Linked DNA regions of Arabidopsis thaliana. Each later gene encodes a partner of the first gene's protein in a complex. Each region holds a gene or a part of one and is shown on either strand. Other genes may lie near its edges. The genes, in order: THO1, TEX1, THO5 and THO2.

Region 1 (6,940 bases):
AAAAAACTATCAAAACAATAGAAGAGTGTCCTTACTGAATTAGAATCAAGTTACATTACCTGAAGAGCTTGGAATGTTATATCCATATCTTCCAGATTCTGAAGCAACTCAACCAAAGATTCTTCAGACTGAAACCACAAACAAAACAAGTTTCCGTCTTCAAGCTGAAATCATCAAATCAAGATCCAAGTGAAAAAAACTTTTAAGCAAACCAGATCAGGATCTTCAAGTTTCTCCTTGATTTCAACAATACTCTTCTGCTCATCATCAAACAAACCAGCAAAGGGATCGAAATCGTCATCGTCTTCAACATTAACAGATTTCTCTCTAACTTCTTCTTCTGCTGCTGCTGTTACTCCTTCTTCATCTTCCTCCTCCGTCTCCTCGTGAACCCTCCCATTATTAACCCTACCAATCGCCGCCTCCGTAACGTTACCACCGCCGCCAAAATCGCAGTTTCTACACTTGTTAGCCATCGACGTAGCGTAGAGACGCTCGACGATGTTATCTCTCCGACGTTTCAGTTCTTGACCATAGTCAAGAGACGCAACAAGAATCGCCGTATCGATAAATGTCCAAACATCAACACCTGCGTTATCCATAACCGATCGGAAATCATCCAAATCCATTATCACCCACACTCCTCCTTCTTCCCCAAATTTGGTTACTTAATAAAGAATTCAAAACGAAAAACAAAAAACAGAGCAAATCGAATTACGTAACCAGATCTAAAAGATGAATCTTTTGATGAATTTGATTCATCGGAGATTAAAAATCGTGAAGAACCAAACAAAGTTTAGATTTCAAATAGTTTAAAAGATAGACAAATAAAAAAAACAAAAAACAGAAGAATCAGATTGGTAAATTCAGATTAAAAAGGAAGACCCTTTACTGTTACGAGGAAGAAAGAAACAGAGGAGGTCGTCTCACATAAGATCAATAATGAGTAAATGGCAAATTAAAAAAAAAAAAGGGAATGAAGAAGAAAGGGAATATTCCAAATTTGAGGCTTTAGAATTTGGTTTGGAGGGTTATTGCTTTTTCTTTCATTCTTCTGCAAGTTTTTTTTTGTTTGGTCCGTTAATAAAAATAATATTCAGACAGAATCAATTAACAGTTTTAGGACAAAAGTAAAAGAAGAAAATGGGAATTGCTTTATTGAGGGATGATGCTCTTTGCCCTGGACAGAGCAAAGCTAAGCAAGTTGGTTTGTTGTGGTTGGGGAGATGAACAGCTCTAGAGAGAGAGAGAGAGAGATGTGAGTGTTTTTCTTTCAATAATGGCGTTTACTTTTTTTAGTTTTTCTTCAAGTGACGAGAAACATTTTACATGTTTCGACTTTTTTGGTTATTGGGCCTCTAAATTTTTGGCCCTATAGCAAGTGGACCCAATATGTCAAATCAATATTTTCATTTGGTCTCAAAGTGTTTGTTTCATGACTTTCATCTCATGAGCCACTGCCACTCACTAATCGTTTAGTGAATTTACGTCGACGGTACAATCAAAACCCCCAAAGAGAAGATCACATCCGAGTTTTTAGGTGTTGAAGGAGGTGTTCGATCCATCAAAGTTTACTTTGTTAGGAAGTAATGTTTATTTATCACTTGTTGAGTGTAGATTATGAATACAATGTCTTTTATGCAATTATTGGAACCTAATATTTATCTCGAACAATTTCGAGCAATTTTTGAAATCTTCAAATCCTTCTCATGTGAGCTATTATGATTTCTTCTGCAATAACATACCATGAACAATTTCGAGCAATTTTTGAATACAGATGTTTTAAATTTCTAATTGATTTGATTCCACACATTAAAACTACGCCATATCCAACATATACAGGCAAAGGTCTTCTGTAAAACTAAATAATGTGAAGCCCACCACCCAACGGATATCATTTTACTATGAAAGGCCCAATGAACATGTTGTTATTCAGTTTATAAATTAAAAATATTTCGGATCCAGATCCAAGCCCGGATATTTGCGGATAATTTGATTGTTGGGAGGATATCTTCCGGATCCGGATCCACCCTAAATTAAAATTGTTCTTCCTCCACTCTTCTTCAAGTTTGGCCTCCGTTTCCAGATTTTTATTCAATTCTTCTTAATCAACTTTTAAAATCCGGCGACTCATAGTCCGTGAATTTTGACCGGCATATCCGGTTTTGGTGTCGTCGGTAAATTCCTCTTCATTGCAGTGGAAGCTGGTTCATTGAGAAATAATGGTAACTCTTTTGGGATTATGAGACTTGTTTTCTTTTGCTTCTTGTTAAATCTATATAGCTTATAAAAACTTGTTTTCTGCAATTTGTGGTTCTTCGCAGGATGCATTTAGAGATGCTATATTGCAGCGAGCTCCAATTGAAACCTTTGCACTCAAGACTGTTCAACACTTTATACAACCTCAGGTAACTCTTTCGAATCAACTAACAATTTCTTCACTCCTTTAGTCTTACTTATTGTCTTTATTGTAAAATTTGACAGAAACAAACAAAGTTGGCTCAAGATGAAAACCAAATGCTTGAAAACATGCTCCGGACATTGCTGCAGGAGCTAGTGGTCTCTTCTTTCTCCACTATTATATTTTCGTGGTATGCGTATATACTTGTTCATTTATATATGTGTGGATTTCTCTTTCTGTTTTCGGGGTTTCAGGCTGCTGCTGCGCAATCAGGGGAGCAAATTATGCAGTATGGTCAGTTGATTGACGATGATGATGATGATGATGATATACATGGACAGATTCCTCATCTTCTAGGTTAGCAATCTCTCTAGTCTGATTTGCATAGTTCGTTCAAACAAGTGCTAGCGTTGTCCCCGTAAAACTTCTTATTCTCTTGTTGTCTATTGCTTATCATCTTGTCCTCACTACTTTTGTCTAACCTCTCACCATCTTCATGTTTTGATTGCTTTGTTAGATGTTGTGCTTTATCTTTGTGAGAAAGAGCATGTAGAAGGTGGCATGATATTCCAGCTGCTGGAGGATTTGACCGAAATGTCTACTATGAAAAACTGTAAAGATGTTTTCGGTTATATTGAAAGCAAACAAGATATATTGGGCAAGGTATTTCTTAAACGAAATCAAATTTTTTCTCGGTTAGTTGTATCTTGTATTTTGACTTGGATGTTGCAATTATTTGCAGCAAGAGCTTTTTGCACGCGGAAAACTTGTCATGTTGAGGACTTGCAACCAACTTCTCCGCCGACTCTCAAAGGTTCGCTATCTGCACCCTTTTCTAGTTCCCTTTGTCAAATATCCATAAGTCATAATCTACTTTTTCATATATAACACATCCACTCTTTTTTAATTCTTTTTTTTGCTTTCACTATTTGGCATACAGGCCAATGATGTTGTATTCTGTGGAAGGATTCTTATGTTTTTGGCTCACTTTTTTCCGTTATCTGAGCGCTCAGGTAAGAAGGGTTTCTCGTGCATATACGATTATTTGGTATGTGAATGTTTAAAAGGTGTGTAACGTTTACTTGCGTGACTTATTCTTTCAGCCGTCAATATAAAAGGTGTTTTTAATACATCTAATGAAACCAAATATGAAAAAGATCCTCCAAAAGGCAAGTGATTTTTTTTTTTCTTATGCTTTTGGTCCTTATCTCCATATGACAATTCTAAAACGTGTTACTTATTCTGTCTATGTCATTGCTTCTCAGGCATTTCTGTAGATTTCAACTTCTACAAGACATTTTGGAGTTTACAGGTGCGTATTAGTTAAAGGAACTTTGTAGGGAACGAATGTTATGCCTTTATCATAAGGGTTGTCTCATAGAACCTCTGTTTGCATATCATGCAAAATCAACATTACTGGAGATAGCATCTCAAATTTCCTTTTGTTAGTTAGTTTATTGAGATAGTTCTTTTCTTACTGAGAAAATTGTTTCGTTTCCAGGAGTATTTCTGTAATCCCGCTTCTCTTACTTCCGCATCTACCAAGTGGCAGAAATTTTCATCCAGTTTGGCGGTATGTGATCTTTGGTTTTTGACTAAATTGCATTACCTGGTCTTGTATATATGTATATGCATAGAAAATTCATGCTGGCGGTAGTGAGAAATCATCTTAGACCTTGTTTCTTGAACTGCTTATGTAGGTTGTTTTAAACACCTTTGATGCTCAACCACTAAGCGAAGAAGAGGGAGAGGCTAATAGTTTGGAGGAAGAGGCAGCAACTTTTAATATAAAGTACCTAACAAGTAGTAAATTGATGGGTTTAGAGGTAAGTATGCTGTGGTTGGACATGCGCACTTCTGAACTTAGCAGTTCACTCACTTTTTTTTCTACCTTTCGCCACAGTTAAAGGATTCGAGTTTCCGACGACATATTCTTCTCCAGTGCCTCATTATGTTTGATTATCTAAGGGTAAATGTCTCTCAAGAATTATTGCACGGAAATTACTCTCTCTGGTATTCTGGTATAACTGAATCCTGTTTCCGTTTAGGCACCAGGGAAGAACGACAAAGATCTGCCATCTGAAACCATGGTCAGTGTTTTTTCTTGTTTAATGAGAAAATTCCTCTTGCTTTCTTTCAAAGGTTCACAAACCTAGTTATATCTCAGTATTCAGGGTTTTATGCATAATTACTCAAAGGTATTGTTTATCTTTTCGGTCTAGAAGGAAGAACTTAAGTCATGTGAGGATCGTGTAAAGAAATTGCTTGAGATCACTCCGCCTAAAGGGAAAGAATTCCTCCGTGCAGTTGAGCATATACTGGAGCGCGAAAAGAATTGGGTATGTGTGCTGCTTTCTCTCTTACCTGCTGCATGATTTTCTGGCTTGTAGTTGAGGGCCGTTAATGATCTTCTACAATACACAAATAACAGGTCTGGTGGAAACGTGATGGATGTCCACCATTTGAAAAGCAACCGATAGATAAGAAATCACCTAATGCAGGGCAAAAGAAACGGTATGGGGAAAAGCTGACCTTGTAATCTAACTGCTTTGTACTCATAGATGGTGTCCGCCATTCGAATTTAGAATACATTACGTGGAAGAAATTGAGAAGATGTTTTTTCCCTAGTGATCTCTGGTCGCTAGTCCATTAAAGTGAGAAACAACTAATAAATCTGCATTACGAGTATTAGGCTCAATATGGGTTATCTTTTGCTTTTACAGGAGACAAAGATGGAGATTGGGAAATAAAGAACTCTCCCAACTTTGGAGATGGGCAGATCAAAATCCGGTATGCATTATTTTTCTTTGCATCCTTGTTCGTTGTTCATATTATGCCACATGCTTCTCCAGCTCTCCTCTCGGCTCAATCTTCATATTACGACTCTACAATAATTGTATATCTGATGGGATAACAGAATGCTTTGACTGATTCTCAACGCGTGCGAACCCCTGATATTGCAGACTACTGGAAACCATTAGCAGAAGATGTGAGCTAACATACTGTTTTCTTTATTTTTCCCAAAGGACATCTTAAAAAAAATGGTTGATGTCTTATTAGCACACCTGATGTTTTGTTAAAATCTCAGATGGATCCATCAGCTGGCATAGAAGATGAGTACCATCATAAAAACAACAGAGTATATAACTTTCCTCTGATTTACAACTTTTTTTTTTATGATGCTTAATTGAATCAGTCTAAGGCAGATAATTGTTACTGTTTTGATAGGTTTACTGCTGGAAAGGTCTTCGGTTTACAGCTCGGCAAGACCTTGAAGGATTTTCTAGGGTAAAATTTTCTTCGATTTCGATTTCCCAATGCTTCATATGATTGCTTTTTAAAACCTTTTTCTTTCTTTTTCACAGTTTACTGAAATGGGAATCGAAGGAGTTGTCCCAGTTGAACTATTGCCGCCTGAGGTCCGGTCCAAATACCAAGCTAAACCAAACGAAAAAGCCAAACGAGCGAAGAAAGAAGAAACCAAAGGTGGATCTCATGAAACAGAGGGAAACCAGATTGGTGTTTCTAATAGTGAAGCTGAAGCTGAAGGAGGAAGGGGTGATGCAGAGACGATGGAGAGTGATGCTATTGCAGACACTCCTACGCCTGAGGAACAGCAAAGACTCGGTGGTTCTGATACAGAAAACGGTCAAGAGGCCGGTCAAATCGAAGACGGAGAGACAGAAGAAGCTGGTCTGATGGACACTGATCTTGATCATCCTCCTATGCCCGTCTCATGAATACGCTTTCAGTTTGTCGACCCTTTCTTCAATGGGGAATCCTTTGGATATGAAGTTCAAAAGTATTGATGTTTAACAAATTATGTTAAAAGGTATTTTCTAAATATGTTTGTATGAGTGCAAATCTGCTAGCTTATTACCTGTCTTTCCATTTCTATATACTCAACAAAATCATCATACAATTAAGTTCTTTTGCGTAATTTATCGTCTAAGTGTAACACTAGACACATATTCGCAGCTAATAAACATTGGATTCAATTGCAATCCACTAAAAATACACTCAAACAAACAAAAAAATCAAATACTTGAGGAACCAAAAGCTAAAAGTGTTACTATTATAGCTATCAACATAAACTTTATGTTTTGCCATCAATATTTATTTAGAATATAAATGAGTGGTTTTTAAGTCGTGTCACGATTTTTAAAGTCCATAAACACCACCGATCTCCATATAATAATAAGGTTTCATCATATGCCAAATCCAATAATACGTGAAACTATACCAGTTCATTGTAGGCTTATTTGGTTATATTATTACTACCTCCAATCATTGAAAATGTATATACTTTGTTTAGTCGTTATCACTTGTCAATGCATATCAAATCACCTTATAAATTTACCCAAATTCACTATTGAATTGTTGATGCACTGTCACATAAGATCACAGTTGTCTTATAGTCGTCGCACTGTTATGACAAAAAAAGTGTCGACTCATATTGAAACAAAAAAAAGACTAAACAATGTTGGCACAGCGATGCGATAAAGAATCGACCAAGAGACAACCGAGTGATTTGTGTTG
Region 2 (4,722 bases), about 20 Mb from region 1:
CCAGAAGCCAGAGGGCTAGGGTGGTCAAGCCCACTCTGACTTAAAACTGTAGCATTCTCCAACAGTGTGGTTACACGCAAAATTTCTGTTCCAAAAATGTCAATTTGCAAGAGTAAGACGCACCAGTTAGAATTAGTCAACAAATCAGTCACCAAGACACCAATGAATGGAGAGACAGCATAGTTAATTGAGTTAGCTTAAAATATATTTTTGCTCTCACTCTAGTTAAATACACTCTGGTTAAATAGAATGAAGTCAGTATAAGAAATATAGAATTAGTCATTTCGTGATCTACTTCTAATAGCTAACAATTAGGTCTCTCTTAGCAGTACTGTTTAAGAGTTTATCAACTGTATTATAGCTTCATGAATCTGAAGCAAAGAATGAAGTATTATGTGAGATGAAAATACAAATAATAAACAACAAAAACAGTAATGCTCACCTTGGTTTAGTAGCCGAAATGCATGTGGAAGCACAGGCAGGAATGGAGTAAGCTTATGACGCTCTGCAAGTAACTCTGAAAGATACCTGCCAAAACAGAAATTGTGCAGAGTATCCAAATTAGTAAAAAAGCCTCAAAGACACATCAAACTTACAAACAGATACACTCAAATTCACTCTAAATCGATACAACCAGATTCAAATTTCCATTCTTTTGTGAAGTGGATCTAGTCAATCTTCCAAAAATCGTATTTTTTTTAACAGTTTCATCAGCCAAGAACAGAAATCAACAATAACAGAAACGAACACAACCAATGAAATGATCCTCACACACTAAAGACTTATGCTTTACAAAAAATGAACTGGATTGAGACAAATCTGAAATAGACTGAGCTAGTTCCGAAACATAGATCCTAATATAATCAAAAGAAAACAAAAAAGACAAAAATCCAGATTCGAGATACACTATTAAGATCTAAAAATCAAAATCAGCAAAGCAAAGATCAACATACTTCATCAGATACATCAGCTAATTATAAAAGATCACCAAACAATAAAAAACAAAAATATAAAAGAAGATGAAAAACTAAGATTCGATTACTTCTCTTGCTCAACGAAGACAGAAGACTGTGATCGGAGACCACCGGAGTAATTAGGAGACTGAGGAGCAGAAGGAGGCACCGAAAGAGACGACGAATACGTCATAAACCTCCCTCCGCCGCCACCACCAATACCACCACCACTTCCTCCTCCTCCACCACCACCACCACCAAGCGACGACATCATCATCATCTCGAAGACAACAGAATCAGAGTAAATCTGTCGGAGATTAGAAGAAGAAGAAGAAGCGGCGGAGGCAGAACCAAAGCTGTTGTTGTCTCTCTATAACGTCGGTGGATTTAAGAGGTCATTTTATAGAGACTGTGAAATGATTACTTGTTGTTTGCTTAGCTGTTTTTTTTTTCACCTTTTTTCTTTGTTTCATATTTTACCCAATTTTACCGCTCTTCTTGTTAGTTTCTCTCTGAAGACTCTTAACCATCTAGAAGGTTTTTTACATCCGGTTTACTAAAATTCGATTCGGTTTATCTATACCGGAATGACTAAACGCTGCGTTTCAGGAAGCGAAGCTCTGATATTCAGTAGGCCGCGAAGGAAGGTTGAAGAAGAAGAGTTGAGAATTAAAAAATGGAGGAGACGACGATTCCTTTCAAGAGCTTACATAGCAGAGAATATCAAGGTCATAAGAAGAAGGTTTTTTTTTTCTATCTCCAGTCTAATTTTCTGTACTCAATAAAACTTGCGAAACCCTAGTTTTTTGCTGAATCTGGGGGAATTTTTGGATTGAAGGTACATTCAGTAGCTTGGAATTCGAATGGAACAAAGCTTGCTTCGGGTTCTGTTGATCAAACGGCTCGCATTTGGAATATCGAACCACACGGTCATGTAATTTCTTTACCTTTTTGAGCTATGGGAACTTCTATGTGTTTTTGATGATGATGAATACATATGGAGAAGTATTGTAGATTGAGTTAAAACTCGATTATTATCTTTGTCATTGTTACTTTTTGAGTTATGTAGTTTTTGTAATTTGGTTGTTTGTGTGGTGTGTGGATACAGAGCAAGGCTAAGGACCTTGAGCTAAAGGGTCATACTGATAGTGTGGATCAGCTATGTTGGGATCCCAAACATTCAGATCTTGTTGCTACTGCCTCTGGTGATAAAAGCGTTCGTCTTTGGGATGCTCGCAGTAAGTTATATTCTTTTAATCGTTTAGTTTTGCTCCTGAAATATGCCTGGAGCTTGGTTTAGAAATCTGTATATTTTCTAATGGATTAGCTATGTGTCATTCACAAATATTTCTCGCAATCTTGGCCTTTGCTTTTGAGTCATATCGCGGAGACTATTGATTGATGAGGATCGGATCTAAGTTTCTTAGAATTATAAATTAGTTATTTAGCCAGATTCCATAAGAGAGGAATTTGATCAGGTTTTTGATATGTGGCTACTATTGTATGTTTTACTATCAATTGCTGAGATATGTCTTCTTCGAGTTCTACAGGTGGAAAATGCACACAGCAGGTAGAACTTAGTGGAGAGAATATAAACATCACCTACAAACCTGACGGGACACATGTAGCTGTTGGTAATAGGGTATTGTCTCGAGCCCCATATCTTTACACTTTCATTGTTCTTACTGTCTATGGATTACTTGATAGATCCCTTTTCATAGTCGTTGTCCTTTCTCTTACTGGCCAATGTAGGATGATGAGCTTACAATTCTGGATGTCCGTAAGTTTAAACCTCTACACAGGCGCAAATTCAATTATGAGGTAACGTAAGCTCAGACTCATGTTAATCTTTATTAATGGCTTTTTTTTTATAAGGCTCTTCCGTATCTCCTGTTTCAAGCTCATGCGGTTATATGTCACCTAAGTTCCTTGTTCATGTAATAATCGTCAAGTAATTTTCTGGTGCCGTATGGAATGTTCTCTTATCTTTTGTCTTCTTGTAACAGGTTAATGAGATTGCTTGGAACATGCCTGGAGATTTTTTCTTCTTGACTACTGGACTTGGTGAGGATTTTAAATTCTGTACTTTCCTGCACACGATTCCCTACCAAAGATTTCTTTGTTTTTGAACTTGAGAAAATGATCTTACTGAAAGTTACTTTGTATGTTGTCCTGCTCAGGCACTGTTGAAGTTCTTTCATATCCATCTCTTAAACCACTTGACACTCTCACAGCCCACACAGCCGGGTGTTATTGTATTGCAATTGATCCTAAAGGGAGGTAATATATATTTACATTTGTGGGCTGGCCTCTGAGACACGAATGATAATCTTTTTGCTTTTGCATCTAATTCTTCCTCTTTACCTTAACAGATATTTTGCTGTCGGGAGTGCGGATTCCTTAGTAAGCCTTTGGGATATCTCAGACATGCTTTGTTTGAGAACATTTACCAAACTTGAGTGAGTATCAACATGAATTTTCCATAGAGTAGAAAAAGGTTTAATTTCTGTTACATGTTAGTAATTTATAACTATTTCTCACAGGTGGCCAGTCAGAACAATAAGCTTCAACTATTCGGGAGAGTATATTGCTTCAGCCAGTGAAGATTTATTCATTGATATTGTAAGTGATTGCCCAGACTTAAACACTGCTAATTTCAATGTAGTTTCCTCAATATGAGATTAGTTCCTCGTATCTGACCACTAACTACCAAACAGGCTAATGTCCAAACCGGGCGGACGGTGCATCAGATTCCATGTCGGGCAGCCATGAACAGTGTTGAGTGGAATCCCAAATACAATTTACTTGCATATGCAGGTGATGACAAGAATCCCAAGTATAATACTGATGAAGGTACTACCGCGTATTAGTACTTCATTGTTAGCAACAACTCAAAACTCTAATATTGGTAGCAGAAAATGAACAATGACAACAACTTGGATCTCTTTGCAGGTGTTTTCCGGATATTTGGTTTTGAGAGCTCGTAGGAACAGAGCACTGAATCGGGAAACATGATACACAACTCCACTTGATTGTTCCTTGTTGAGTTAGAAAAAGTTTATGTGCCTAGTGTACCTAAATATGTATTGTCAGTATATCAAGTTGGAATAATCTTACAGTATCACTAAATACATTGAAAGTTTGCAGTTCTGAATCTGGCATTTTATTTATTGCAAAAATTTGTTACTATACAAGCAATGTTGTTTATTATTAACGAAGAATGAAATTAATAAGATCAAGATCAGAATTCTAATCCCGAATTACATCAATTTTCTACTATGTGTGAGTACTGCTAAAAGTTACAGGTTGTTCTTATTCCCTCCGGCGAATCTTCAGTCTGGGAGATTTGACAGCTACTCTCTCAAAGCTAGAACAGAGGCCAATGGTAAGATCGGACCAAAAGCATCATCCCCACAATGAAGGTTGAAGAAAGAATGCAGAGTCCTGAGAAAGAAAACACATTTATTACTGAGAGTCCAATTTTGGATTAAAGAACAAGAAGAGCACACGATTTGCTTACCGAACAAACAGTGAATAGGAAGAGTTTGTCAAAATCCGCAGAGGATGAACTTTGAGACCGGGAAGAACAACCCTGCAGAGCAAAGAAGAACAATAGTTATCAAATACTGAGAGAACCAAGTAACAGGTTTCCACTTGATCTCAACGCTTGAACTCTTCATCCTCTTCCCACTCATCGGCTCTTTCGACAAATCAAAGCTCGACCCTTTCATCCTCAACTCCAAAACACACCGTGTAAGCGTTCTATTAT
Region 3 (6,066 bases), about 14 Mb from region 1:
GTAAACCTTGACGAAACCCAAAACGCAACAACTCTATATGCATACTACACTGTTAGGCGTCACTTAAAAGAAATCCTCGACCAAAACCCGACATCTAAATTTATATTGACCGGACATAGCCTAGGTGGGGCTTTAGCGATCCTATTCACGGCTGTTTTGGTGATGCATGATGAGGAGCAAATGCTAGAGAGACTAGAAGGAGTTTACACATTTGGACAGCCACGCGTAGGCGACGAGGAGTTTGGAAATTTCATGAAAGATTCACTAAAGAAGTTTGACGTGAAGTATGAAAGATATGTTTATTGCAACGACATGGTTCCTAGGTTGCCTTTCGACGACAAAACACTCATGTTTAAACACTTTGGGGCATGCCTTTACTATGACAGTTTCTATAAAGGAAAGGTTGGTTGCATATATATGACAATCTTGTTTCTTTGCTTTAATCACTCATCCGTCTAATGTCGCTTACGCACTTACCCTACTGATGATATCTATCTACATTGTTGTTGTTTAATTTGTATTATGTTCAGGTAGAGGAAGAGGAACCAAACAAAAACTACTTTAATCTCGTATGGGTTTTACCAAAGATAATGAATGCACTGTGGGAGTTGATACGTAGTTTCGTCATGCCTTATTGGAAAGGTGGAGAGTTCAGAGAAGGATGGTTCTTAAGGTGTTTTAGGGTTGTTGCATTGTTGATTCCTGGATTACCTGCTCACTTCCCTAATGAGTACATCAATGTTACTCTTTTAGGTGACTTACCTGACTCGCATCTTGATTAAATTTTGACGAAGTCATAAATTCTTTTGAAAAGTTGATGTGTTTAGCTTTTCTAGGGTCTCGTTTCGGTGATGTAGGTGTTATTTTCTTATTTTGGCCTTAGATCATCCTTTCTTTCTCGCAATGATTCTACGTCTCACTTTATCTTTATCTGCATCAAGAAAAGAAATGCATAAATATTTCAATAAATACTTAGTGAAACGATTCTCTTACCTGCGAGTTATACACACAAGCAAACCAATATAACAATCAACAAATAAATCATGAAATAAATCAAACCAATGAACAATCATCCATTGACACAACCATCTCGGGGGATTGAATAATGGTACCAAAAATACTGCCTATACATACAACAAATAAATCACACAATCTCAATTGCTTAGATAATCTCATGGTCACATACCCACCTCGAAACAAGAATGATTTTGAAACCAAAAACAACAATCCCACAACGAGCAGTAACTTCCTACTCACCAACAATATCTCAACTCACCATACATCCAACTACAACAGCAAACCAACCTTTAACCTAAATTGGAAAAAATCTGAAAATAACCCAAACAATTGGTCTCAAATATTGAGTCACGAATCGCAATCTAACCGTCCAATTCAAATCTCCACCGTTGAAACTCAACCCTCAAGATGTCCTGAAGCTAACCTCAAAGTTTAGTGATGATCTGACCGCAGGTGCACTCGAGATAATTTGTTTAATACACTCTGGTCTAAATCACGTCTGAAACAGAGGACTTTACGAAAACACAGATAACTTTTAGAATATTAACTCAAATCCAAATCCGCAAAGTGGTAAATCTAGTTATAAGGCTTAGCTACAACTCAATAAAATTTCCGTACCATAGAAGGCTATTTGATTGATCAAACCTCTGTTCTACCACGACATATCTGATATGTCTCTCTCTTCCTTCACCAAAATTATCAAGTAGTTTCCTTTTTGGTGTTTTTTACATAATATTTTTGATATCAAACCAAATTTTTTCTTGTCTTTATACAGAATTTTCTGAAAAAAAATGTTACATAATCTCTTTTACGCAATTATCATCCCATCATGGAGTAGATATAATATTTGTAACAAAATATAGTTTACATAAAAATCATAAATAGTTTGACAAAAAAACAAAGAACAAAAAAAAAGAAGAAGAGAAAAATCATAAATCCTGTCAGAAGTACCGGAGCGAGCCTGACTGGAGAAATCGAGAATGGAGGACGGCGAAATAGAGGAAGGAATGGTAACTGCCGACGAATTCCCGACGCCGGAAGTAACTACCATAGAGACTATACAACCTCCCCGAGAGCCAGGAAAATCTCCACTCGAGCTACTTCGAGAGAGCAAAACCTCCGTAGAAGAAATCGTCGCGAAGATGCTCTCCATGAAAAAACAAGGAAACCACAAATCTGAGATTCGAGAACTCCTCACTCAAATGTTCCTCAACTTCGTCAATCTTCGTCAGGTACTTACCAATCTTCTCCCTCCACCTCTTTCGCTATACGATACTTATTAGGGTTTTTTTCGCAGGCGAATCGGGCGATTTTGACTGAGGAAGATAAAGTGAAAGCGGAGACGGAAAGAGCAAAGGCACCTGTTGATTTCACGACATTGCAATTGCATAATCTTATGTATGAGAAGAGCCATTACGTTAAAGCTATCAAGGCTTGTAGAGATTTCAAATCTAAGTATCCTGATATTGACCTTGTTCCTGAACAAGACTTCTTTCGTCATGCTCCTGAAGCTATCAAAGATCAATCGCTTTCAAGTGATAGTTCTCATGTTTTGATGCCTAAGAGACTCAATTTTGAGCTTCATCAGGTTGGTTAATCATCACCATCTCTGAAATTCATTCAACGTGATATAATGTTTCATTACCTTTTTATGTTTTTTGATTCAGAGGAAAGAATTGTGTAAGCATCGAGCGAGATTGGAGCAACAGAAGAAGAGTTTATTAGAAACCATTGCGGAGCGTAAGAAGTTTTTGTCGAGTCTTCCTCTACACCTTAAGTCTCTGAAGAAAGCATCGCTTCCAGTACAGAACCACTTGGGTATACAGCACACAAAGAAACTGAAGCAGCATAATTTAGCTGAGCTGCTTCCTCCTCCGCTTTATGTTCTATACTCACAGCTCTTGGCACAAAAGGAAGCTTTTGAGGAGAGTATTGAATTGGAGGTAGTTGGGAGTCTTAAGGATGCTCAAGCTTATGCTAGACAACAATCCAGAAAGGACTCAGGTAAGTTGTTTTGAAAATTTACTGTGTTTTCTAATACTAAAACGAAAAGAATGCTAATTTGGTATTGGTTTTTCAGGTATGTCGAGTAATACAGAGAGTTCTAGGTTGGAGGATGATGGACCTGATGACGATGATGATGGACAAAGGAGAAGAAAACGACCCAAGAAACTTACTAGCAAAGAAGGTTCTGACAAGGCAGGATTATATCAAGTCCACCCTCTCAAAATTGTCCTTCACATATATGATGATGAGATACCAGATACAAAATCCTTGAAACTTGTCATTCTCAAGTTTGAGTACTTGCTGAAGTTGAATGTTGTATGTGTTGGCGCTGAAGGCTCTCAGGATGGACCAGAAAAAAACATATTTTGTAACTTGTTTCCAGATGACGCTGGACTTGAGCCTCCTCATCAGGTAACTTTTTGTTTCTGTGTTTCAGTTTTCTTCTACATGTGACTTTTGATGGCTTTACTTTTAAAAATGCATACTCAATTCTCTTTATATGGCCGGTTTTCCATGCAGTCAACCAAGCTCATCCTTGGTGATGGTCAGACGTTTGATGAGAACAGAACTTCAAGGCCTTATAAATGGGTACAACATTTGGCGGGAATTGATATTTCACCGGTTTTATTAGGCCAAGAAGCTCATAACACTGACCCAGCTAAAAGTGATACGTTTGTGCCTGATCTTTCATTGTATCGCCAGCAGCATAGAGTGCAAACAGTTCTGCGAAGAATACGCTTGCGGAAAAAAGCGCATCTGGCTCTTGCGTGAGTTCACCACTCTGTATGTTTTCCGTCTTAATTAAAGAACACGATGCAAAGAATTCCAGAAAATTAGTAGACCACCATGATAATCAGCATATGGTTTGTACATTTAATAGTTTGGGTTTGTCAATAACTTGGCGGTCAATTTAATCCCTCTGTAGCATTGTCAACTTCGTGATAAGAGCTTCTATAGGTAATTATTTCTGTTGATATGTTTATTTTTGCTGAATACTTTGGAAACTTCTACTGGCTACAGGGAACAGCTTGATTTGCTTATGAAACATGAGTTACCAGTGGTGAACTGCGAAGATGCTCCTTGGGCACTGCATAAGGTTCTCTGTGCTTTGGATTCCTGGTTACATATACAATCTTCAGCTAGTAAGTCATGCTCTCTGACTCTGAACAGTGTGGAACAAGTTCCAGAACCTATGGAAATCGATGTAGATGGAAGATCTATTTCTGGAAAAGAAGATTTTGAAAGTATACGGGAAGATGGAGAACTTCCCTCTTTGGTCACGGCGGCTGCTTCGTTAACCAGTTCCAATCATACCCCATCGAAAGTATCTAATCAAGCACGGTCAAGGCAGTTGGCCTTGATGACAAAGAATCTAGATTCTCCGATTAGCAAAGGAAAGTCCCCAAGTTTCAAGAAATACGAAGATGATTTGGATCTTGTTCTGGACGATGATAGTGAAATAGATGAGCCAACCGGAAGAACTGAGGCGCATGTGGAAGAGTTATGCCCTGAGAAAGCTGATAATTCATGGGTGGATTATGGTTCGAGAGAGTTTGCGCTTGTGTTCTCCAGGAAAACAGATGGCGGAAAGTTGTGGAAGTTAGAAGCAATGGTAACTTCTAAAACACTATCTTCTAATACGGTATCTTCCCTATATCTTTTTCTTTCTTAAGTGTTAAATCGAGTTGTATTGGCAGGTACAAATTAGCATGGAGTATCCTCTTCGACCTCCTTTGTTTTCTCTGTCTCTCCACGCATCTTCTTCATCAGGAAATGAAAATGGGACAAATGAAAGTGACCATTACAATGAACTTCGAGCAATGGAAGCAGAAGTAAGTGTCAAACCCAGTAACATATACTAATCTTTACTCGATGACACCAAAGATAACGCCTTTGTAACCTTTTCGTGGCGGTATCAGGTGAACCTTCATATGTTGAAGATTATTCCTTCAGATCAAGAAAACTATCTCCTATCTCATCAAATCAGATGCTTAGCAATGTTGTTCGACTATTACGTGGATGACCCATCTCCAGATTCCAAAAGAGGAACAGCCACAACTGTGGTTGATGTCGGTTTGTGCAAGCCTGTTGACGGTAAGCTTCTTGTGAGATCATTCAGAGGCAGAGATCACCGGAAAATGATCTCATGGAAGGGCAGAGGATGTGCATCGGGTTATCCATGCTAGAGATTACATCGCCACTCACTTCTCTATATTATCTTTCTCTGGTGGTACAAGCAAAAGTTTTTGCATGTAACATTTTTTTATCGTATAAACCGTTATTGAAACAGCCTACTTGTTGGGTGAGGACCTGGTCTGTTTTAAACCTGGCAATGTTTCAAGTCCAATCCGTTTTAGCCTGCTCTGTTTTGGTCTCGATTTAAGCATTAAAGCCTAGCGGGTAGCTTGGAAACTAGAAAAGTGAAAAAGGGCTCGTCACAGGTTTTGGAGAAAAAAAAAGGAATCAACTCGTAGACAACCGTTATTACAGGTTGCTACTGCAATCATTGACAAATGTTGTTCCTGCAATTGGAGGTAGTGAAGAAAACAAAACCAAATCAAATTGGATATTAGTTTATAACTTTCAAGTGATTATATAGTTTGATTTACTTTAACTTTTAGTTTTTTTGTCATCTTATTTAAGTACAATTACCAAGGAAATATGCAAGTTTGAATTACAAGAGCGGGCGGAAAATAAATACATCCCAAAAACTTAATCCAAAAGAAGGAAGCGAATCCCTAAATTACAGGAAAACTGTCAAACGTAAATTTTTACATATCAAAAAGACAAAGCAAAATCAAAGGCATGAACGAAGACCTAAGAGGAACCACGATTTGCTAAATTCACTCCCATGTCCCAGGAAGAACAAAGCCAACCACAAAAGACAGTGAAATTTTTCGTGTTTTGTTGCAAATGAATCAACACTGAATTTTTTTGATTTATTATAGGAGTTATTTTTGTATATTGCAAATGAATCAATAGTGAAAAAATTTAGCAGCAATTATTGAGCCTATAATATAATTTTATAGTTTTATGGTTGAG
Region 4 (4,753 bases), on another chromosome or scaffold:
TTTGTTTCGGGTGACACTGTTGGGCTAAAACAGACACGGTTTTGTCTCTTGCACTTAACATAATTATACTGTTTGATTTCTAATCAGATTTAATACAAAAAAATTAAAAAAGACGACACACTGTCTGTTTGTCTGGATCGGAAAAGTAGTTTGTATTCGTTTTCCATATAATGGATACATATTTGATTTGCTATAAATTATAACCCTAGGTTATGAAGATTTTTTTTTTTTTTTAGGTTACGAAGAATGTTGACGTAAATTGTAAAGACAACAAAAATAGTATTTTCATCAACATTACTTAGTTTTATTCCATGCATGATGGAACTTTGGTTGAGGATTTCTATTTCTCACAAGGTAAATTCCATCATTTCTAGCAATCTAACGACGTAGAGCATCACATCGATCAATGTTGGCTGCTCTATATGCTACAAAATCTTTATAATATCGCATGTATAAGCCGTGTTTCAAAAGACAAGTCCATCTTGTCCTTCTTCCAAACATGTCTCCGAAACGGATTTGTTTTAGTTCCTTGAATTGTAAATTTGCGACGTCTAAATTGTCGTCTTTTGAATGACGATGATACTAGAGAACCAAACCGGGACCAAGATCATTCATAATTTCAATTGTGTTACGTTTACAAGACAAAACTGATACAAGCAATCCAAAATACGTCGCAACAACTAACATAAAAATTATAAAACGATTCATTTTTCGGGTAATATGAAACTCCAATTTGAATTTAATGACACCAAAGTACAGTATCTATAGTTATTTCGTGTGGTTAGTATTTGACGATTTTCCTATGGCCTTAATAAATTAGTTAAACTGAAACACAAACATGTAGTTAATAATAGATAATGTCGGAAAGTCTGGTTGACTAATAAAAAAAAACAAATGAATTCAACATTACAAATTATAAGTGATCCAAAAAACCTAACAAAAACCAAAATGTTTAATATATAACAAAAATTCTTCTAAGCATATTCTTTAATTCTAGACGAGGCAATTTGGAAGCACTGATTTGAACATAACAAAATAACAGCAGCCCTCGCGCCAATACAGGCACATTAAGTTTAACTATAAATGACTTTTAGCGGATTAGATTTTAACATAATGAGTTTATAAACAGGCCAGACCTAAAACAAATAGCTTTCGAATAACGTTGGTCAAACCGACCCGTTTTCTTTTGTTGTTGTTTCTTGAGCAAAGGAGGACGAGGAGGAGAAGAAGGAGAAGATGACTGTAAGTTGGATCAACTTTTCAATTGCTTATGGATCTTTTCTGACTTTCTTTGATCGTTTTTTTGTCCCGAGTAGTTAACGATTCTGGTTGAAAACGGGAATGGAGCGAAGAACGCTGAGAAATTTTTTAGGTTTTGGTTTCCATATTTTAGTTAATTTGGTATGTTACTAGCTAGTACTTGTACTCGTTGCTTTCTATTTGTTTATATCTGTTAGGACCAAAAGATGTAATTAACATTTTTAATTCGATATTTGCCTAATTGCCTTGTTAGTAGTATCGTGGTGGACTCAAAGATCATCTGAGCCCATGGGCTTGTTCAATAACAACCAATTCATAGTTTCACGCCCATTCAAAACAAAATCATACGACTTAACCGGACCCGGTTTTGTATTGAAATTGTATACAACATAATTTGCTGAAACAAAAGACGACAGAAAAACAAAATCGGTAAGTAGTAGAAAAAGGAAAAGAATAGTCCCCTCTTCTGCAAAATCAAAAACATATTTGCATCATCTTCACACCGTCATCATCATCGTCTTCAATTTACTTCCACCAAATCAAATAATCTCTCAAAAACCCTAATTTCTCTTTTTCTTCTCTGATCAAAATTGTTCGTTCCTCTCCCTTTTCATCTTATCGGAATGCTTATTTTCTGGTCGCCAATCGAAGTCTAAACCCTATTTTCTTAATCTTCTAGGGTTTCGAAAAGGGAGGAGAGTGAAAGATATACATACATACACACGAAAGGGGTTTAAGATGTCTCTTCCGCTACTGGAGTGTAAGTACGTGACGGAGGAGTTTGTTCGTGAAGGTAAGAATGGCAACTATGGAACCAAGCTGCCCAGCTCTGTGCCGATGCTTCGTTTCCTCTACGAGCTCTCTTGGATTTTGGTATACACACAAACACCACCTTCTCTTCCTACTACTATCCAATCACGCGTATATGTTGTTCGAGTTCCTCAACGGTGCCTCGTGATGGATTATTAGGTTCGTGGCGAATTGCCAATTCAGAGCTGTAAGGCAGTGTTGGAAGGTGTGGAGTTTTTGGATAAGCCATCGAGAGAAGAATTAGCTTCGTGTTTTGCGGATGTTGTGACTCAGATAGCTCAAGACGTAAGTCCAATTACAGTTTTGACATCCTTAGCTCAGAGATGATTGTGCAAGGTTATTGATACTGATCGTTGGATTGATTGGGTTCGTGTTCTCTTTGCTTTGTTTTGCAGCTTACCATGTCGGGAGATCAACGTTCTCGTCTAATCAAATTGGTGAGTGCTAGAATTTATTTTACGTTTTGAAAATTGATCATTGTTTGGATTTGTTAGTCTTGAGGAAAGATAATTCTAGCTCTTTAGATATTAGTGATCACAAAAAGTAACATCCTATGAATAGATTAGGCATGTGGTGTATAGCTATCAGTAGTGTCCTAAGGTTCAACCAACCGATGGCTCATCCTGGGCAGGTTGCAAGAAAGTTCCTGATTGTAAAAGGCTACTTCATCCTAAGGAGCTGAAACTTTGACCATAGTGCCTTAGATGATCTATTAGCGTAGTTTGGTATTGAATTTTCCTTGTATGCTTGATCCAATGTTCTCTGATGAGCTGCTTACAGAGGAGTTGTTAGCATATGTCTTATTTTATTGAATTTGATGATTGCGTACTTTAGTTTCTTCCTTAAAATATTCTTTCTGTTCTCATTTACCATCTCCTCAAGGTTTCTATGCTCACAGCTAATGAACCAATTGTTCTTTTTTGGTAGGCGAAATGGCTTGTGGAATCACAGACAGTCCCTCAAAGGCTTTTCCAAGAGCGTTGCGAGGTAAACATTATGTTACGTTCAGCCAATGAAACAGAGTAATACGTAGAGAATCTTTATATTAATAGAACTTAAAACAAGAAAATACAGCTTTGAGAGGTTTCTTAATAGAGTCCCCTCTTATCCCCCCTTCCACCTTTCACTAGTTCTCGATAACTCCCTCACTGGTACCCCTCATCTATATAGCATGTGCATCATGCAATCCTACTGCCCATCATAGAAACCGTAGCTTGAACAAGTCTGGAGTGATAGATAGAGACTGCTAAATAATAGTTATTGTAGCTGCTAAGGTAGTTATAGAAGTTAACTTCAAGGCTGTAGCCTGTTTCGAATGTCACATTAATCCCTTAAGACTGAAGAATTGTCCTCAAAGATCCAGTGGACCAGCTGGTCTCACGGAATAGCCCTCTTCTTCTTGCTGTAGATGTAAAGGATAGGAGCGGGCAAGTCCTAAAATGTTTGTTATTATTCCCAATTTGAGTAGTTTGTACCCCACCCACTTAACCTCTCTATTTTCTTGATCAGTAAGAAGAAAATTTTCTGAAGGCGTTTTATTTATTTTATTTTAGGAGGAGTTTCTCTGGGAAGCTGATATGGTTAAAATAAAGGCCCAAGATTTGAAGGGGAAAGAGGTGAGGACTTCACACTTCTGTAACTGCTGTATTAATATGACTTCACACTTTAGTCATCAATGCAGCTGCACTGTGCTCTGATTTACGTAATAGTTACTCTGAGTGAATTGCTATTGCGAAAGATTAATGCTTATAAGAATTTCTACTTTACCTGTGTAACTACTGCTCATTGTTTATAAGTAACAATTCTGGTTGATGCTTCTCAGGTGCGATTAAACACTCGTCTTCTGTACCAGCAGACAAAGTTCAACTTACTCCGTGAAGAAAGCGAGGGATATGCCAAATTGGTTCGTTATAGAAGATCTCTAGCAGTCTAGTTTTTTTTTTTTTTTTTTTTTTTATCTATTGTCATTCTTTCTGTCCACTTCGTTTCTATTGTCTTTTCTTAGATACTCTTTACTTCTGTTTTTTCTGAAACACAACTTTAAGGAATACCCCTTTAGTTTTTGGAAGGGATGATCTTTTCAACAATGCTGATTTGGCCTTTCCTTTTCACACGGTTCCAGTTGGAAGGCATATCTTCTGCTAGTTTTATTACCTATAACTGTGCAGAGTAATGAACATATTATCTCAGTAGAGATTCGATTAAGTCAGATTATACATACACCAACTTATAGCAGTTCCTTTTTGTGGAGTGCAGGCCACTCTTTTGTGCCGAGGATCTGCAAGTTCTTCGCACAATGCATCAGCAGCAACGATGGGAATTATCAAGGTTTTGATTCGGCCAATACATTATATTTCGCCCATTTACTTTTTCTGAACTTTATATTTTCTTGCAGTCATTAATTGGGCATTTTGACCTGGATCCAAACCGTGTTTTCGACATTGTAAGTTTTCACTGTTGCTTCTGTCATATTTTTGTTTGATATTGCATAACGCATCAATCTGTCCTTCCCGATTAGTAATAATGTACCCTTTGTTTTTGATGAATAGGTTTTAGATTGCTTTGAACTCGAACAAGATTACGACACATTTCTCAATCTAATTCCTATCTTTCCCAAGGTTTGGAATGTCTTCCTCGTATTTTTATCTTCTAATGCTTAGCTCAAGAGACTATTTTTTGCTAA

Evidence for each region.
Region 2: THO1 (region 1) and TEX1 share a complex: the UniProt entries of both Arabidopsis thaliana proteins name them as parts of the THO complex.
Region 3: THO1 (region 1) and THO5 share a complex: the UniProt entries of both Arabidopsis thaliana proteins name them as parts of the THO complex.
Region 4: THO1 (region 1) and THO2 share a complex: the UniProt entries of both Arabidopsis thaliana proteins name them as parts of the THO complex.

The regions. Positions count from the first base shown.
Region 1 is NC_003076.8:3,064,593-3,071,532, forward strand, and holds THO1 (nuclear matrix protein-like protein), read left to right. Parts: upstream 1-1,985; 5' UTR 1,986-2,222; coding exon 2,223-2,225; intron 2,226-2,324; coding exon 2,325-2,408; intron 2,409-2,484; coding exon 2,485-2,559; intron 2,560-2,655; coding exon 2,656-2,758; intron 2,759-2,918; coding exon 2,919-3,064; intron 3,065-3,143; coding exon 3,144-3,215; intron 3,216-3,341; coding exon 3,342-3,414; intron 3,415-3,504; coding exon 3,505-3,570; intron 3,571-3,666; coding exon 3,667-3,713; intron 3,714-3,902; coding exon 3,903-3,974; intron 3,975-4,101; coding exon 4,102-4,227; intron 4,228-4,304; coding exon 4,305-4,370; intron 4,371-4,449; coding exon 4,450-4,491; intron 4,492-4,623; coding exon 4,624-4,740; intron 4,741-4,832; coding exon 4,833-4,915; intron 4,916-5,124; coding exon 5,125-5,191; intron 5,192-5,318; coding exon 5,319-5,390; intron 5,391-5,489; coding exon 5,490-5,540; intron 5,541-5,629; coding exon 5,630-5,689; intron 5,690-5,766; and 3 more. Other genes in the region: AT5G09850 (Transcription elongation factor (TFIIS) family protein), read right to left, coding at 60-128, 213-629. UniProt on the Arabidopsis thaliana protein: Acts as a component of the THO subcomplex of the TREX complex which is thought to couple mRNA transcription, processing and nuclear export. Contributes to the integrity of the endogenous trans-acting small interfering RNA (ta-siRNA) pathway.
Region 2 is NC_003076.8:22,721,973-22,726,694, reverse strand, and holds TEX1 (Transducin/WD40 repeat-like superfamily protein), read left to right. Parts: upstream 1-1,595; 5' UTR 1,596-1,629; coding exon 1,630-1,695; intron 1,696-1,791; coding exon 1,792-1,887; intron 1,888-2,061; coding exon 2,062-2,191; intron 2,192-2,503; coding exon 2,504-2,595; intron 2,596-2,705; coding exon 2,706-2,774; intron 2,775-2,959; coding exon 2,960-3,017; intron 3,018-3,133; coding exon 3,134-3,233; intron 3,234-3,325; coding exon 3,326-3,412; intron 3,413-3,496; coding exon 3,497-3,575; intron 3,576-3,670; coding exon 3,671-3,806; intron 3,807-3,905; coding exon 3,906-3,940; 3' UTR 3,941-4,213; downstream 4,214-4,722. Other genes in the region: AT5G56140 (RNA-binding KH domain-containing protein), read right to left, coding at 1-85, 443-528, 1,043-1,233; AT5G56120 (RNA polymerase II elongation factor), read right to left, coding at 4,502-4,722. UniProt on the Arabidopsis thaliana protein: Acts as a component of the THO subcomplex of the TREX complex which is thought to couple mRNA transcription, processing and nuclear export. Contributes to the integrity of the endogenous trans-acting small interfering RNA (ta-siRNA) pathway.
Region 3 is NC_003076.8:17,205,454-17,211,519, reverse strand, and holds THO5 (THO complex, subunit 5), read left to right. Parts: upstream 1-1,869; 5' UTR 1,870-1,997; coding exon 1,998-2,249; exon of another isoform or gene 2,250-2,314; coding exon 2,315-2,605; intron 2,606-2,684; coding exon 2,685-3,021; intron 3,022-3,097; coding exon 3,098-3,435; intron 3,436-3,543; coding exon 3,544-3,791; intron 3,792-4,044; coding exon 4,045-4,636; intron 4,637-4,721; coding exon 4,722-4,856; intron 4,857-4,943; coding exon 4,944-5,210; 3' UTR 5,211-5,549; downstream 5,550-6,066. Other genes in the region: AT5G42930 (alpha/beta-Hydrolases superfamily protein), read left to right, coding at 1-402, 531-782. UniProt on the Arabidopsis thaliana protein: Acts as a component of the THO subcomplex of the TREX complex which is thought to couple mRNA transcription, processing and nuclear export.
Region 4 is NC_003070.9:8,740,212-8,744,964, forward strand, and holds the start of THO2 (THO2), read left to right. Parts: upstream 1-1,728; 5' UTR 1,729-1,852; exon of another isoform or gene 1,853-1,939; 5' UTR 1,940-1,998; coding exon 1,999-2,133; exon of another isoform or gene 2,134-2,229; coding exon 2,230-2,355; intron 2,356-2,465; coding exon 2,466-2,507; intron 2,508-2,997; coding exon 2,998-3,057; intron 3,058-3,623; coding exon 3,624-3,686; intron 3,687-3,892; coding exon 3,893-3,973; intron 3,974-4,026; exon of another isoform or gene 4,027-4,239; intron 4,240-4,326; coding exon 4,327-4,398; intron 4,399-4,465; coding exon 4,466-4,513; intron 4,514-4,619; coding exon 4,620-4,688; intron 4,689-4,753. UniProt on the Arabidopsis thaliana protein: Acts as a component of the THO subcomplex of the TREX complex which is thought to couple mRNA transcription, processing and nuclear export.